Linked DNA regions of Oryzias latipes. The protein of the gene in region 2 binds, or shares a complex with, the protein of the main gene of each other region. Links are inferred from orthologs where the notes say so. Each region holds a gene or a part of one and is shown on either strand. Other genes may lie near its edges. The genes, in order: timm21, cmc1, cytochrome c oxidase assembly factor 1 homolog and smim20.

What was found.
Region 1: cmc1 (region 2) and timm21 share a complex: the UniProt entries of both Homo sapiens proteins name them as parts of the MITRAC (mitochondrial translation regulation assembly intermediate of cytochrome c oxidase complex) complex. The link is inferred for Oryzias latipes from reciprocal best matches to the Homo sapiens genes CMC1 and TIMM21.
Region 3: cmc1 (region 2) and cytochrome c oxidase assembly factor 1 homolog share a complex: the UniProt entries of both Homo sapiens proteins name them as parts of the MITRAC (mitochondrial translation regulation assembly intermediate of cytochrome c oxidase complex) complex. The link is inferred for Oryzias latipes from reciprocal best matches to the Homo sapiens genes CMC1 and COA1.
Region 4: cmc1 (region 2) and smim20 share a complex: the UniProt entries of both Homo sapiens proteins name them as parts of the MITRAC (mitochondrial translation regulation assembly intermediate of cytochrome c oxidase complex) complex. The link is inferred for Oryzias latipes from reciprocal best matches to the Homo sapiens genes CMC1 and SMIM20.

What each region holds. Positions count from the first base shown.
Region 1 is NC_019878.2:15,518,238-15,522,373, reverse strand, and holds the start of timm21 (mitochondrial import inner membrane translocase subunit Tim21), read left to right. Parts: upstream 1-1,291; 5' UTR 1,292-1,306; intron 1,307-1,415; 5' UTR 1,416-1,437; coding exon 1,438-1,720; intron 1,721-2,854; coding exon 2,855-2,917; intron 2,918-3,048; coding exon 3,049-3,146; intron 3,147-3,255; coding exon 3,256-3,329; intron 3,330-3,797; coding exon 3,798-3,903; intron 3,904-3,989; coding exon 3,990-4,082; 3' UTR 4,083-4,136. UniProt on the Homo sapiens protein: Participates in the translocation of transit peptide-containing proteins across the mitochondrial inner membrane.
Region 2 is NC_019874.2:13,407,112-13,411,453, forward strand, and holds the start of cmc1 (COX assembly mitochondrial protein homolog), read right to left. Parts: upstream 2,846-4,342; 5' UTR 2,707-2,845; coding exon 2,688-2,706; intron 2,325-2,687; coding exon 2,232-2,324; intron 1-2,231. UniProt on the Homo sapiens protein: Component of the MITRAC (mitochondrial translation regulation assembly intermediate of cytochrome c oxidase complex) complex, that regulates cytochrome c oxidase assembly.
Region 3 is NC_019875.2:5,301,905-5,305,909, forward strand, and holds the end of cytochrome c oxidase assembly factor 1 homolog, read left to right. Parts: intron 1-2,825; coding exon 2,826-2,902; intron 2,903-2,974; coding exon 2,975-3,101; 3' UTR 3,102-3,459; downstream 3,460-4,005. UniProt on the Homo sapiens protein: Component of the MITRAC (mitochondrial translation regulation assembly intermediate of cytochrome c oxidase complex) complex, that regulates cytochrome c oxidase assembly.
Region 4 is NC_019876.2:17,386,018-17,390,256, reverse strand, and holds the start of smim20 (small integral membrane protein 20), read left to right. Parts: upstream 1-1,379; 5' UTR 1,380-1,461; coding exon 1,462-1,570; intron 1,571-3,409; coding exon 3,410-3,466; intron 3,467-4,239.

The DNA.
Region 1 (4,136 bases), on a different chromosome or scaffold from region 2:
TTGACCAGTTTTGTATTTGACCAATCCCCTGAGGAAGAAGGAAGCTGGTGTGACAATGGAAATATTTTGTTCAGTGGCAGTTCTACACTGACTTACAACCCCCCCCACACCCACATTGACCACATCGTTTTGTGTTCCCTATTTTTAATTAACACAAAAATCAACACAAATGTAAGAATTTTATATACTCGTATTACAAGGGTGTCAAACTCAATTGCACAGGGGTCCAGGTTGTGGGCCGAACAGGATAAACATTTAGTGAACACATTAAAGATACGTTTTCAAACATTTTAAACTTATTTTGAACAAAAATTTGAATAAAAACAGACAGGAATATTGTTTCGGAATAAATCAACTTCAAGCAGCCCCAAAAATGTAATTGATAATCACAAAGACACTAAATAACATTGTTATAAAATCTCAATCATGTGGATTTGCTTTCAGGAAAGTGCAACTTTAATTGAAATAGGAAAGAAAATATATGCATTTATCAGATGTTTCTGAAATTTGTGGGAGTGCTGACTCAAACAGCCATTCAGCAAATACATATTCATGTCTGCTGTGCATTTAAGTCCTTAGCCAGTAATGCTGTAGTGAGCAGTAATTTGTTTTCCTTTCATTTTTTATCAACATGAAAGGATCCTTTTAAAATAAATTATACCTGTAATTAAAAAAAAAACTTGTATTAATTAAGGGTCTATTTAAAGTATTTACATAATCCTAAGTACCAAGTCAATAAGTTTGAAACCTTAAGTGAATTATTTTTATGTTGAAAAAACTCTGCTTCTAATTAAGTATGTCTAAATTGTTGCATGTTTTGTTTTTTTGGATTTATAACTTTGTTTTGTCTCAACACGTTTTACCTTTGTTATAAAACATAAAAACTGTTTGATCTCAATTTTTTAATCATTGTTTTAGCAGAAAAAAGACCACATTTTTTCTGCTAAAAAATGTGGTCTTTTTTCAAGAATTCTTGAATCTTGAATCTTTAGCAGAAAAAAGACCACATTTATCACTCAGAATTGACTTTTTTGGACAGTTTCAACTTCATTGTGGAGTTATTGTGCAGTATAATGAAAACAAAATCAGTAAAACGAAGTGTGGGTTTTTAAAAAGAGGATGGAAATCAAGCATTGCCGCAAAAACCGATTTGAAGATAAATCAATAAAGCGAAATACGACGTAAGGTCAAAAAAGCCCCAGACCACAAATAAGGCTGCAGTTTGACATCCGGGACAGAAGGGGGCAGTAGCCATCTTTAGAAAATCCTCGACGTCTGATCGACCCAGCAGGTCAGTGAATCAGAGGTCTGAATGGCGGTTTCCAGCATTGCAATTCCATGTTACCATGAAAGACCGCTGTTATTTGATTCTTATTTTCAGTAGATGAGCTGCTGTTTTCTTTTCTTTTTTTCAGATATTGTCCGTCGGATAAAATAATGTCTTTCACGCACATTTTAAAAGCCGTGCAACAAAGTGTGCGGAGCTCCGGGAAAACATTTCTCCCCGTGCAGCAGGCTGGCGTGCTGTTGTTCACACGCAGAGCAGGAGCGGTCATCCCCGGCCTGTCCGTCCGTGGGTCAGAGGCTCCTGTGTCCGCCCTGAGCTGTCTCTGTCAAACACGAAGACGCTTTTCTGTTCACGTTATCCTCAGAAACAAGGAGGAGAAGCACAGGTCTGTTTCTGCCTACCAGAGTCCTAAAGTGTCCTCTGCTCAGAAAGGTATGCCCATTTCAGATTTGTGCAACTAAACGCATATTTACTGTCTTGTCTCTTTAAATGGGGTTTAAAGCTACTATTTTATTTAGAAAAAACTAAAAATCTTGTTTTAGGACCGCCCATTTTGTTTTCTTACAACCAAAGCTGCTTTCAAAGTTTCTTGGCAAGTAATAACTCCTACTCCCTTTCCTGTGGTGTTCCTCAGGTTTCTGTTCTGGGCCCTCTTTAGTCTATACCTCATTCACTCACTTTATGTACTTCATCTTTTTCATGTGATTTATTGATACCTAAAGATTCTTAATGACCTGAAACTGTGTTGGTAAGGTATAAATATCCGCTTAGAAGTTATGAACCGGATACTTCATGTAAAGAAAATGTTAAGTTTGATAAGTTTGCTTCCTTCCACTCCCTTTCAAGCCATCTTTAATTAAATGACTAAATATTCTATGTTTGATACATCTTAGTTTGTATGGATGTTGATTGTGTAGTTTTCAGCATTGTTTTTGCTTTGGTTGCTTGAAATAAGCAATGCCAAATCCAATTGAACAAGGTTTATTGAAAAAAGAAAAGAAAATCCAAATTAATCTTGAAGATAAATTCTGCATTAATTCATCAAATCAATGGATATATTTCATTTTGCATTTATTCCAGCATTGGAATATATATATTCCAGACCAAGAATTTGCTCCTTTATTCTATTTTTATGTCATTATTTTTAAAGTAATGAAGTAATTACTAACTCTGGTAACGTTAGGTTGGGGGTGTGAGGGGGAGCGGGTAATAGGTTGGTGATGGGAAGTGGAGCAGGCTTGCTCCACGCCAACAGCACAGTGGTCAATTTCTATTGAACTACTGCTGCTCTGCAGAAACTAACTAACTAAAGATCTTTAGGACTTGTCATCATAATACCTCGGGGCATACTAGAGGGCCAGACCTAACGTTATGTTGATGAGTTCCTCCTCCTCTTGTCATCTCTTATAGCCGCAGTCTAATAGAGCTACCCGTCTGCACAGACACACAGTTTCCTTTTATATCAAACCTGGAATATTTTCACTCTGGGTTAAATTTTGCTTATAAATCTAAACTCTTCCACTATGCATTGGCCACTCAAGAGCCTCTGCTCTGTTTGTCTTTCAGTCAAAGATGCTGGGAGAGACTTCACCTACCTGATCGTGGTCCTCATCGGGCTTGGAGTAACAGGTGAATTGAACTGCACGAGTCCAAGGAATGGCTACACAACAATCCCACATTGCTTGTTTATATATTTATTTATTTGGTCCCAGAACACACAACCTAAATAATCAGCTGCAGTTTTCTGCTGTGTTGGTCAGGGGGGCTGTTATATGTGGTGTTCCAAGAGCTGTTTTCCTCTACCAGCCCAAATAAAGTCTACAGCAGAGCCTTTGACAAAGTCAGGTCGCACCCAGAGGTAAAAATCAAGCCAGACGGCGTCTCCTATCAATATTTTTTTACTGTTGAAATGGCTAGAAATCATTGTTTTTCCAAAATAAAAGTAAGAAATACATAATCAATTGCAGGTTATTGGGGCATTTGGAGAACCAATTAAATGTTACGGTGAGACCACCCGCCGAGGGAGAAGGCAGCAAGTCAGGTGTGTTGACACTTTATCTTATCTTATTGAACTTTTTCTTACTTGCAAAATGTTGCTTTAGCATTCATTGATTCATGGTATAGAATACAGTAAATCTGATCAAACTTGGCATAACAAGCAGCTGCCTTTAGTTTTAGAGGAAATGCTTTTGCAGGATTTGAAGGACTTCCTTTCAGAATCACAACCTGTGAACATCAGCTATAAATCATATTTTCAGCAGCATTGAATTTCCTTCAACGTTTATGCAAAACTTGTCATGAAGGAGAATTTAGTTTCAGACCCCACAGCTATGAAACATAAAAGTTTTTATTGTCTTTTGAAGAGCTAACGTGGTATTCGTGCTGATTTATTGTAAGCATCTGAGAATCTGGAGCTCTGGAAGAATGGAGTTACAAAATGTTAAGGTTATTACATATATATGTTATTGTTGGAGTTTTTTTATTCCTTATTCTCATATTTCCACTTCAGTCACGTGGAGTATGTAAAGGATGGACTTAAGCACATGAGACTAAAGTTTTACATTGAGGGATCGGAGCCGGGCCTGAAAGGGACGGTGCATTCAGAGTCTAAAGAGGTAAGTCTTTATTTAAATGGAAACCTGTTGTTTCTTGTGTGGATTTTTTGATCAGTTGAGATAATGGTATCCTTGTTGTTTTGCAGAATCTTGAAACTGGAAAGTATGAATTCCGTTATGTATTTGTAGAAATAGATACCTACCCGAGACGGACTATTGTTGTGGAGGACAACAGATGAGGAGCTTTTCTGACACTCAGGGGACAAGTCAAGACGTTTGCACTTGTAAAGCAG
Region 2 (4,342 bases):
ACCAAAAAAAAAACTATTTTCTACTCAGAGTGAGGTCTTTCACATGTAGGCTGTTCTGAAAGACATTAAAATATTAGCGTGAATCATCTATTCAGTGGGAAAAATCATGACGGGTTGGGGTCAGTAGAACGCGCCTTTCTCAAAGCCCACAAAATCCAAGTGTGGGCTGCTTGTGTGTAAAGACAAAAACACAGTGAACGTGCTGCCAGGCGTTTTTCACGTTTCTTTGTAAAACTCCAACACAGACACACGTGTGCAGACACAAGCACACAGCATGAGAGGGTGGAGGATGAAGGTGTGAAAATGAGTGGGACGAGAAGCTTGTAAGATGAGGGGGGTTTCCATTACCACATAGCCACTGTCTGTCCCATCACCCCAGCCTGAATGTGCACCCTTCTCCTCGCGTAAGCAGCGCACACTGGCTGTGATCAGATTTTTACAAACCACATAACTTAGTCACTCTGGTTGATGCATCGCTGCAGTTGCCCTGTAGCACTGCACGAGCAAGACTACGGGCAGTGTTTCTGTGCAGATGATGTAGTTACTGCTGGCATGCCAGTTAGCCTGGCCTTTAAATATAATTCACAGCAAAAGTTTAGCAGCACACAAGTCAAATGTTTAAGGAATAGAAAGGAGAGACCCAAGAAGAGGAAAAAACTGCCAATATAACTGTCAAACTATTATTAATGTAAAATATGCTGGTTAGCCACAACTAAATCAGTCCCATTGTTTGTAATTATTTTTTAACAGAAAATATTAAATATTAAAAAATACAAACGCGTTCAAACAAACCTGTATTTATTAAGAAACAACTATTGAAAATAGCCTGCATTACCATTTGTTCTGAGGTTTTTACTATAAATTTAACTCAAAGAATTTAATTTAATGAAATGCTGCCCTACTCAAACAAGACTTTTACTAAATTCACTTTTGGGTCAAACTTACTGATCCAGATTATCCCCTTACTTCTTTAAATTTTAAGGAAAAATTAGGAATGGAAAGACTTTGAGACTAAAAGTCTAATGCCATTTTCAAATCGTTAACCTGATGCTTTAGAAATCAAATAATTGATTTGATTAACACAAATCTTTACTAGAAAAAAAACTGGTGATCTTAAGAGTTCTGCACTTAGGGATGCATATTTAAAAAAAAAAGTCATAAACATTAAATGAATAATAAAAGTACAATGTCCAGAGTTTTGAGGATGGTTACTCATACACCAGTGATAATGAAAAAGATGTATTTTACTATTGTTTTCTGCAGTGTTTTATACTGTTGTTTCTTTTTATACATTATATTTGTAGTAACTCATGTTAGACATCATTATTTCTAATATTTAAGTGTTATCAAGGTGCTGAGTTTTTTGGTTTGACCAAAAATGTAAAGATAATTGGCCAAAATTGAGACTTTGCTGATACTGTGAAACCATCAGAAAACTGTTGATTTAGTGGCATTACAACAGGAGTCCCTTCCTCTTATCCACATATGTCAAATTCAAGGCCCGGGGGCCAAATGTGGCCCTCCATGTCATTTTATGTGGCCCCCGAGAGCATAAAAGTTTTTGATTTCTTAAAATAAAAAATAAAAATTGGTGTGTATTTATATATATAGGGGGGGAATCTGCCTTGAAATATCAGATTGGGCAACCATACATTAGGACTTAAACACTGTCCATATAACCTAACCTGACAGAATCAAATTTAAAAGGATTTATGATAGAGTAACAAGCAAACATATGTTTTCTATGCAACTGTAATTGTCACTTTCAAAAGTTATAAATAATAAATAAATTAGTTGTTTAACATTAAGGAGTAGTTACGTGTATGTTTCATTACATTTAGTTACATGTATAAGTTATATCCGGCCCTTTGAGGACAGCTGCTATACTGATGTGGCCCTCGGTGGAAATGAGTTTGACACCCCTACGCTTATCGGTTCCAAAATGCCATCAACGTTCATCAAGCTCTGTGGATGTTGCTGGTCCAAATTAATGTGGTGACAGCAACATCACAAGAGGTTTTAATGTGAAATAAAATCCTACACTGCTCAGAAAAATGAAAAAATATTTTTTTTTTTTTGGTTTTAGATCTCAAGGTCACTCAAAGTTCACACGTGATCAAGATCTCCTTTCATGACGGCCACAATGAAGACGAATCTGTGTGTGCTGTACAGAGAAGGAGTCAGCTTAACCCACAGCTCACTGGTATTTGCTGAGTTATCTGTAAACACACCATCAACCTTGTCCGCACAAAGCTCCTTGGCTTTCTCCCTCATCATCTTGGGGATCAGCACGTCCGTCTCCACATGTCTCAGATGGACCTCCTCTGTATCAGATCAGGAGAAAAGGAGGTAAACAAGAGAGATGTGTGTGCCAAACGAGGATGATGGAAACGGTTTATTAGTAAATTAAACTGATGAAGACTACGGCTTTATCATGACGGTACAACGCCTAATGTGCAAAATTACAAAACATTTAATGTAGCTAATAAAAATAAAGTGGAGTTCGGTTTGCAACTACCAAAACGTCGTGGATCGATATGTCGCTAACGTCATGCATGATCATGGCAAGACACCGAGGAATGGCTAGTAGTTATCATCCAGATAACATATTCATCTTTATGGTGAAATTACCGAATACATTTTATACTTGACGAGGCATTTTTTTTTAATAAAAGGACGTTACATACCTGTATTTGTTGCTTCCATTATGGGGGGACTCTCAAAACATTACAAAACAGAGGCAATCAATGTGACCTAGCTAACGGACGCTGAAAACACTTCCGCTGACGTAAGAAGAATGAAACTACAAATCCCATAGACAACACGGTGTGGTAACGAGTACCGCCTCTTCCGAATGAAGTCAGGTTTTTTAAGCAAAATAAACTTTTATATTATATTATATTATATTATATTATATTATATTATATTATATTATATTATATTATATTATATTATATTATATTATATTATATTATATTATATTATATTATATTATATTATATTGTATTGTATTGTATTGTATTGTATTGTATTGTATTATATAGTACTGTATTTTACTATATTATATTATATTATATTATATTATATTATATTATATTATATTATATCATATCATATCATATCATATACTATACTATACTATACTATACTATACTGTACTATGTTATGTTATGTAATGTTATATCATATTATACTGTATTATATTATATTATATTATATTATATTATATTATATTATATTATATTATATTATATTATATTATATTATATTATATTATATTATATTATTTTGAATAATGGTAGTGACCATTTTCTGGGTAAATACTTAATTATTTAACATTTCCTTAATCATTCTAAAATTATCTTTTTTATATATGACCTGGATTTAAATAACAGACGTTGACTACTAAAGGAGTTACATTGTATGAAACAAAATGTAGGTTACAACATTTTTAAATGAAATTAGATTATTAAAACTATAATTTAAGCAATATAATTGGAAGTACCAAGCTTATCCTTTTTTGTGTTTTCTCTGCTGGATGGATACTGAATGATTAATTACCACAAATTTAGTAAATAACATCCGCAATTTTTTCCTGAAGCCCAAAATTCCAAAACGACTTGTCATTAGTAAGTACTTATACCTTGAATAAATCATGAAAGCAGTTTTAAGGAAGAGTTGTAATAAATCAGTCGCAGCAAAATAAAGTCATTTAAGTGATGCAAACAGAGAAAAATTCAGCCATTTGATCAAATTCCATTATATTCTATACTGGTCATCAATTGGTGTATTTCTTTCACAGTTCTGTTAAAATGTCTTCCAAAAAAGGTTAATATATCAACTGTCTTTGTTCTGTTAATTTGGTATCAGAACAATCCTTTTTTTTACATGAAAACCTTTAGAATGTTAGTGTACAAAAAAATATATATGTCTAGAAAAGTTTTAAAACGTCTAAAAGTGGACATTTTTTGTAACAATTTTTTAAATTGTTTAATTTTTTTTCTTCAAAACCTTACAAAATTTAATCAAACCTGTCAAGTGACTTAAAAAGAATGAAAAAAATATGATATGCTGGTAATATGGTAGCAAATCTCTCCTGAAAGTATGTCAACATACAGCCACAATGTACCAGAGACTCAGCCACAGACTGCACGTTTCACACAGTCTGACCACAGTCAGGTGTGTGGCACAAAGATCACATAGATTCCAAGCGTATCAGCCTCACTTGTTCAATTAAAGAGACAGGTATTCTCTCCGAGACACGCAGAATCACACGCTGAGGAAAGAGTGTCTTCACACGAGCAGCAATACAGACGATAGACTACACTCAGAAACAACTGTC
Region 3 (4,005 bases), on a different chromosome or scaffold from region 2:
GAGGATCGTGAGCACACACACAGCGCTTTGGGGCGGTTTGAGCTTCAAAGCAGAAAGGCCGCTCAGTCCTTAGAAATCGTTCAAACAATCACGTGGATTTGTGTTTCGAGTCGTGTCCCGACTAAATAAAGGCTAATGTTATTCCCACATGTTTACATGCAGCCAAGATGCAGATTGCAGCACCACCCAAGCTAATGTTGTTAGCCCGTGTTAGCATACTGCTAATTCTGGCTTCTTTCTGGCTCAGTTTTTCAACAGAAAAAGCACTGATTAAAAATAAAACGATGAGCGAACAGGCGTTTCATAATAACCGTAACATTATTAAAAGCAGGTTTAGATGATCGTCTTGTATATTACCGAGCTGACATATCAATGTATAAAACCGCTCTGCAACATTGTTTTGTAATGAATTGTTACATTCAATAAAGTTTGAGAAAAAAATAGCCGCTCGGCGGAACTGATATCCGCTTCCGGTTTTTCAAATCCTACTGCGCATGTGCGAATGATTTATTCCGACCGAAAGTGTGACCCATGTGAACGTTTGTTATAATCTGAAAACATTTTTCTGGAACCATCTACACAGTTGGATTCTAATCCGACCATCGATCCCATCAAGATATTTTTCACATGTAACCGGGGCTTATGGTGTCGACTCGCAGCTTGGCGGGGGCGTGGCATCACGATGGTGTCTCTCCATCGGGATGTCACTCACCCATCACGATGGACGATGTTTCCCGACCAGTTCTATTGTTTCCCCTGTATCGTAATCAGCATCAGTTCATTGCACTTTACCATGGCTCCTGGTAAAAACGTACTGTGGCTCAGGATCGTTTCAACTCGATTTTTCCTAATAGAACAATAGACGTTGTGTAAAATAAGACACACTTCAATGAATTTACAATGGCTAGGTGAATCAGTATCAGTAGCGATAGCTCAGTGGGTACATGTACACAATACACTATAGCAAGTCAATGGGGTCTGCATCCAGAGGTGCTGGGTTCAAGACCAGCATTTAAAAAAAATAAAATAATTTGCTTTGTGTTTATTTTCTTCATGTCATGAGTGTTTTGCTGTGTCAAGCACTTCTCACAGAAAACGTCACATGTCATGTTGTTTTACGTTTTATTTTTTAATTATTAAAAACAATGTTTTGTGTTACGTTTTTTTCCATCATCACTTCTACATTGAAGTGTTACAAGGAGCTTAGTTGAAGCATATGATATACGGCCAGTCCGCCACCAGATGCCGCTGTTCTGTGTGGTTTCAAAGCCCTGAATGGCTGGTTCATTTTTCCGGCACAATTACATGAAGCCCAAGGGAAGCTTCATGGGGCTTCTATTCCCATCGCTAACAATTCTAACTATTCAGTAGGACTATCAGTTGTGTATCCACCTGACTTCTGCACAACACAACTGATGGTCCCGACCCCATTTATAAGGCAAGAAATCACACTTATTAAACCTTACAGGGCACACCTGTGAAGTGAAAAACATCTCAGGTGACTACCTCTTCAAGCTCATCAAGAGAATGCCAAGAGTGTGCAAAGCAGTAATCAAAGCAAAAGGCGGGTACTATGAAGAACCTACAATATGACATATTTTCAGTTTTTTCACACATTTTTGTTATGTATATAATTCCACATGTGTTCATTCATAGTTTTGATGCCTTCAGTTTGAATCTACAATTTTCATAGTCATGAAAATAAAGAAAACTCTTTGAATGAGAAAGATATGCGATATTGGTGATTAATAGTGCGATAACGATATAATTCGCGCTATATAAACAAATAGCAAAACAACCAAAAACATCATTTCCGTGTTCACTGCAACAGTTTAAAAATTATACTCCAAATGACCCTCGTCGACGTAGGAGGCAAACATCAAACATAAAAGGGCTCATCTGATTGATCAACAACGTAAACGGGTCCTTCCGACTGGTTAAATGCATAAAGGGATTTATTTCATTTGTTCAATATTTCAAGCTGCCATGAGTTTGTTTTAGCACATTTAAGGTAACCATTTATTGCGATTTTCGCGGTCTTTTGGGGTATGCATATTGCACAGCTTAATGTCGCGATAACGATAAATTTGCGGTATACTGTGCAGGCCTAATGTACATGCATCATTATACGCAAAGTGATGAGAAGTTGTTTTTGAAAGGATGGGTTTTAAGGACTAAATATGACGGTAAGCCAGATGCTTTGCTTACCATAAATACAGTTGATGATCAGGTGGACGCCTCCTTGCCCCTCCCCCTTCACCATGTGCTGCTTTTGGAGCATGCTTCTGATTACAGAAATCCTACCGCAGAGTGTCTTTGGTCAGAGGTTATTTCAGATCCTCTGTGGTACTGACTGAATGTTACAGGAGATCTTTCCCACTCGCGTCTACAAGTTCAAGTCAGCTTTGTTGTCAAAAATGCAATATATATGGCATCCAGCACAGTCATCTCAACCCACAGTCAAACTGCCAATAATAATAATGGTCTGATGTACAAAATATATACACAGGAAGTATCTAGAAAAAGTAAGATTGGGACATGGTATTCAGTATGGATAAAGGGGCAATAGTGGTTATGAGACAGATTCGTGTATCTTCATGTAATTCAATTTTTTCAATTAATTTTTTTTTTTGTATAGCCCAAATTCCCAACAACAGCAGCCTCAATGGGCTTCTTAACGTGTAAAGTGACAACAACCTACAGTCACTTTGATGAATGTTGGAAATTTATTGACTGCAACTTCTATTTCTCTCCTTGTAGATAAAAATAGATGTGTGGTTTAATTGAATTATTTTTTGAATGTGTTTTTTTTCTTTTCTTTGCAGATTAAGATTCCTGTCACAGGCTCAAAGACTGGAGGTTATCTGTACACGTGTTCACACAGAGAGCCACAAACACACAAGTGGGTCTGCTTCAGTTTTTTCCTCTGAACGCTCAGTACAAATTAATAAGGAGTTTGTGCACCCCCCTGCAGGTGGGATTTGAAACAGGCTGAGCTTCACCTCCGGGAAGGTTCCGTCATCGACTTGCTGAACCCTCCTCCTCGTCCAGCTACGCCAGAAGAAAGTACACTAGAGGAAGACATGGACAAATGGCTCTGAACGGGAATTCCAGACCAGTGTCTGGTGCTGAGGACGGGCTATGCTTTGATCATTACCTCGTACACAGAGCTGAAGCTGTTTGTAGAACGGTGCACGTCATTCTGCAGCGTGCAAATGAGAACCAAAGAGCTGAGGCGCAGCTTTGACTGTAATTTATTTCAAATGTTTCTCAGTCTCTGTTGGAAAGGATACATTTGTCAACACTGACTCTTCACTCAGGAGGCTCCTTTTTCACTCATCTCCCCTCTGGCAGACTGTCTTTTTTTTGTTTGTTTTTTGTTTATTGCAAACTAAAAGAGAATTGCGACATACCTGAAATACAAAGAAACAAACATATAGTTTCATATTTGTAATACAACTCGGCCAGTTATTCTTTTTTCCGAACACCACTCTCCAGTTTCCCCACCCCTGCAAAAAAGGGAAAATAAATGAATATCTTTAAAAAAAGAAAGAGGAACACCCTCAACCCCCCCCCCCCCCCCCTCTCCATAGTTTGCAATACAAAGCTATGATATATATTGTCCAATGTAACAAAAGCTTACCTCTATATGATCAACTCAATGGCCAAATCAGTCAACCAAATGGCAACATAAATTAGAGAAATATAGTTACATAAATAGCTTATGTAATAATATTTATACGTAAGAAAAATAATACTTATAATGCTAATAATAATTAGTAATAACTGGAATATTTTAAACTATAGACTACGCGGACGTGGTGGTAGAATGTGAGGAGGCGAAGGAGAAGAAGTGATCTAAAACCCGACCCCAGACTGAGAAAAATGTGTCCCTCAATCCCCGAACTGAATATTTTATTTTGTCAAGTTTTAATAGTTGCATAAGATCCGTCAGCCACTGGGACACCCTGGGTGGGTCTTAAGATTTCCAGTGCAATAATATAC
Region 4 (4,239 bases), on a different chromosome or scaffold from region 2:
TCAAGGAAGAGAATTACGTACTTTTAAGAATTCTGAAATAGGAGGATTAAAGTTATGTCTTAAACACAATTGCTCATAATCTAATAAATTGCCCTCCGTGTCCATCAGATCAGTCACCGACCAAACACTTTGCCCAAACCATTCAGCACAAAACAAGGACTTGTTTCTATGGAGCATGTATTCATTGTTCCAAATAGTACTTAAAAATGGCGATGCACATACAATATTTTCCAGTATAGCAGAATTGTGGAACTCTGATAATGCTAGATTGAAAGATTGGTTGTGTTTGATCCACGATTTTATCTATAGGATTCCGTTACGGCAGTCAAAATTCATAACTTTGAGACCACCATCTTTAAATTCTTTGACCATATTTATTTTTCATGTAATGATGCTTGTTTCTCCAAATAAAGTTTAAAGTCATTTGGCAGATGGATTTTATCATTTTGTTTGGGATGGCATTAGAGTAAGATGGGTAAATACATCTTGACAAACACTCCATCTTTGTCAGATAGATCCGGCCCTGCATCGACATGTCTCTTTGGAGCCACATATTTAACTCTGTCTCACATTCATCCAGTTTTTCACCCACATTCCTTGATTAGCTTATTTTTTGGTCTTTGGTGATGTAGATCCCCAAGTATTTAATTTCTGATTTAATGGGCATATGATTGATTTCTTTTAAAGGTGTGTCATGAATAGTCAACAGTTCACAATTTCTTTAAATTTAAGTTTGACCCTGACGCTTTGGAAAAGTGTTTTACTTTTTCAATAGCTGCTTTGATTTGATGCTCATCTTTTAAAAACAGTGTTGTGTCATCTGCTAGCTGGCCAATAATAAGCTCTGTACCCAAGACATTTAACTTTTTGATGTCATAACAATTCGTAATATAAATGGCCAAATTTCAAGATTTCCAAGAAGACTTGATACAGTAATTTTCTGATATCTTCCCAAAAGTGTCTATAAAAGTCGCCTGTGAGCCCATCTGAACCAGGAGATTTATTAAGAGAGAGTCGATTAATGACAGCATCAAGCTCAGAGATTAAAAGTTGTTTATCGCATGTTTGTTTAAAATTGTCGTCTATTTTGGGGATGTGGGGAATCTCTTTTATAAAGTTGTCACAGTCTGCTCTTGAAAATTTAGAGCTGTAAAGGTGGCTATAAAATCTGTAAATTTCTGAGGATACAGCCTTTTCATCTGTAATTTCTATATCATTCACTAGAAGTGATTTTAGGCTCAGTTTAATAGATTAACATAATTTTACTTTCATAACCCCTAGCGTTTATCTATCAAAATTGATATACAGTGTATTGCTCTGTGTTCCTTGCTGTTTGTCATTTTTGGTTTTTAAATAAAGATTTGTCAAAAAAAATGTGACAGCGTAACCTTTTCCCCGGAAGTACAAGTTGTAAACACGGGGTGTCTTTAATGCTAGGTTACGTCCTACCAAGCTAGAAAAATGTCGAAAAATATAAGAATAGCGCTGATTTTTGGGGGTTTTATAACAACAGTCGCCGCTGCTTTATATCCTATTTTCGTCTATCCTCTGACGCACAGAGACGAGTACAGTAAGTAGCTAACAGCTTGTATTTATTTATTTTTTTAGCTCTTATACAATGTCATGTAAACGTCACAAATATTTTTATATATTTTCTAAAGATATTCTCCTAAATCAAACTAAAGGCTGTTTTGAAAAAAATATTTGAAGTACCGGTACTGAAGTATTTTTTTTTTTATTTAAACTGCTTTTGGAAGCTAGCTTCTAACTTTTAGCTAGCTAGTAGTTTAATTCCATTTGAGTATTTTGTCCTCAAAGCTGAAAATAAGCAAACTTTTAAAGTAATTTTCCTCATAGGTTCTATGTTTTTCCCCCAAACATGTTTATAATTAAAAATAATACAGTCAAAATGATGCAAATCTAAAGATGAAAACATGAATAAAAACAGCTACAGCAAAAATAGTACAACAATAGAAAACATGTTTGAAATAGAGCAGGAAGAAGCTTATTTATTAAGTCTGCCCAAGAAAAAGACAAGAAAACGACTACTAATACTGCTTCTAGTACTAGTACTACTATTAAAAATAATAATAGAAAAAGAGAAAATCAACTACTACTACTAATAATAATGTGAATAATGATGATAATGATAATAATAAATAACATAAATGAAGGAGAAAGTACAATTAAATAAAATAAAAAAAGCTATCTTTTCAGCCGCTGCTATTTAACAGTTTGCATGCACACCGATCATGATCTGATTTCAACAGTAGTCTGCTTACTGAGGTGAAAAAAGCCTGATATCTTTAATGGATTATGGCTGGTAATAGTATTTGGGCCAGATGTCTCTCCAAAAATTCTATTTCCTGCTTCAAGGATTTATGTTTGCCTGATTTATTTTAAGTTTTTCTGCATCGGATGTGGGAAAAAGGCAGTTCAAATAAACTTCTGAAACAAAAAACAACAGAAAAAGTTCATTCTTAGGCATCAAAATACACAACTAAAAAAACAAATCTGACTGTTCTTTATGAAGGTAAATATGTTCCAAAAAGAACGCACTTTTGATTTGATGTGAGATCTTGTAATATAGAATGTGAATACTTGCACAACAAAATTCTGCATCTTTGTGTAAAAATCTTTTGCTGTGAACTGAGAAATTCCCATTTGCATGTGTTCATTTAGAGTTACAACGTCAAATATGTGATTCCAACTGCTCAAATGTGCTTCTGCGTCTGCTCGAATCTGCTGGCGCAAATCACAAGTGCGCTACAACTGCGCTCTGAATTCTGACACATTCCTTGCAAGAAACTTGTGTCAAAACTGATCTGTGTCTGATAATGGAACTGGGGGAAGGGAGGGTTAGAGGAGGGGGGAGTTAACCAATCAGAGTGCAGCACTCAGAGGATTTGGTAAAGTTAGAAAGATGGTCACAGATTCGGACTTCCTGCTTGAATAACTCTTCCAGAAATCTCCATCTTTGGAGAAATCCAGATGTGTTCATGTAAGCAGCAGGATCTGAAGGTTTTAGGTCAAACTGAATCCTAACTACTTCAAGCTACTTGAGGTCACACTATAATGTCACGAATGAATCAGGTTTTCTGAAATTAGCTCTTTAAAGTAGGATTTTTTTTAACTGTTATATTATTTAAGTAATAATAATATTTATTTATTTTTTCCATGGATTTTCTGCACCTTTGCAATGTTACTATTATAAAAATACAACCCCTGTAATGATTTTCACAATCACCGGCAAATATGTTCCCTAAACTGAAGCTTTAGACTCTCCTTCCTTAATTTTTTTTAAAAACATTTGAAATCAAACATTTCTAGAAATTTTTTGAAATGGATCATAGCATGAAAATTTTCCCTAGAATAAAGAATCTAACTGAAATGCTGTGCTCCTTTTTAGGACAAACTCAGAGGATAAATCGGTCCGGAATAAACCAGGAAGATGTGCAGCCTGTGGGTAAGAAAAGGTCGCTGAATTCAAAAAAGCGGGTGAAATGATGCTTACAGGAGCTTTGACAATACTGGTAAAAAAAAAAAAAAAAAGAGAAATGTTTGGATCAACTTTCCTCACAAAAGAGGAATCTTTTTGTATATTTTGTCATTCCAAAACACTTCTTGGGTCCGTTTTTAATCAATTAAAAACAATAAACAAATGTTTTTACTTTAAGTATGGATGGCAGATTAAGTGAAATCAATTTTTGAAAAGAATCTGTGAAAGTATTTTGGTCGGATTTCTTATCCTTAACAAAAAACGCCATGAAAGCGAAACAGTTTGACATTTTTATTGGATTTGAGTCACAGAAAAGTGAAGGCAGCCCGGCTGCTCTTTTAGATCAACTTTATTTTGTCACAGGATCACTTTCTACATCCTCTGTAATCATTTGATAATTACAATAATGACTAAAATGTCCACATTTGGCCTAAACATTTTCTGAATTTTCTGAAACTCAAAATTAAAAAACACATTGTTTGGAGCTAAATTAAGAAATAAAGCACAAGTTAAAAACCATGTGCAACTGCATTTGCTGTAGTATTTTGTTTCTTTTGTAACTTTCAGTTTAATTACATTATTTCTTTAATCTCCATTTATGATTATTATCTTTTTAATAACTATTGCGGGATTTAATATCTATTAAAGCAAACGTCTGCTCTGCAAAGCACTGATTCTACAAAGAGAACAATTCATGTATCGTTTTGGGATTTTATTTTGAAGCTTATTTTGTTTTTTCA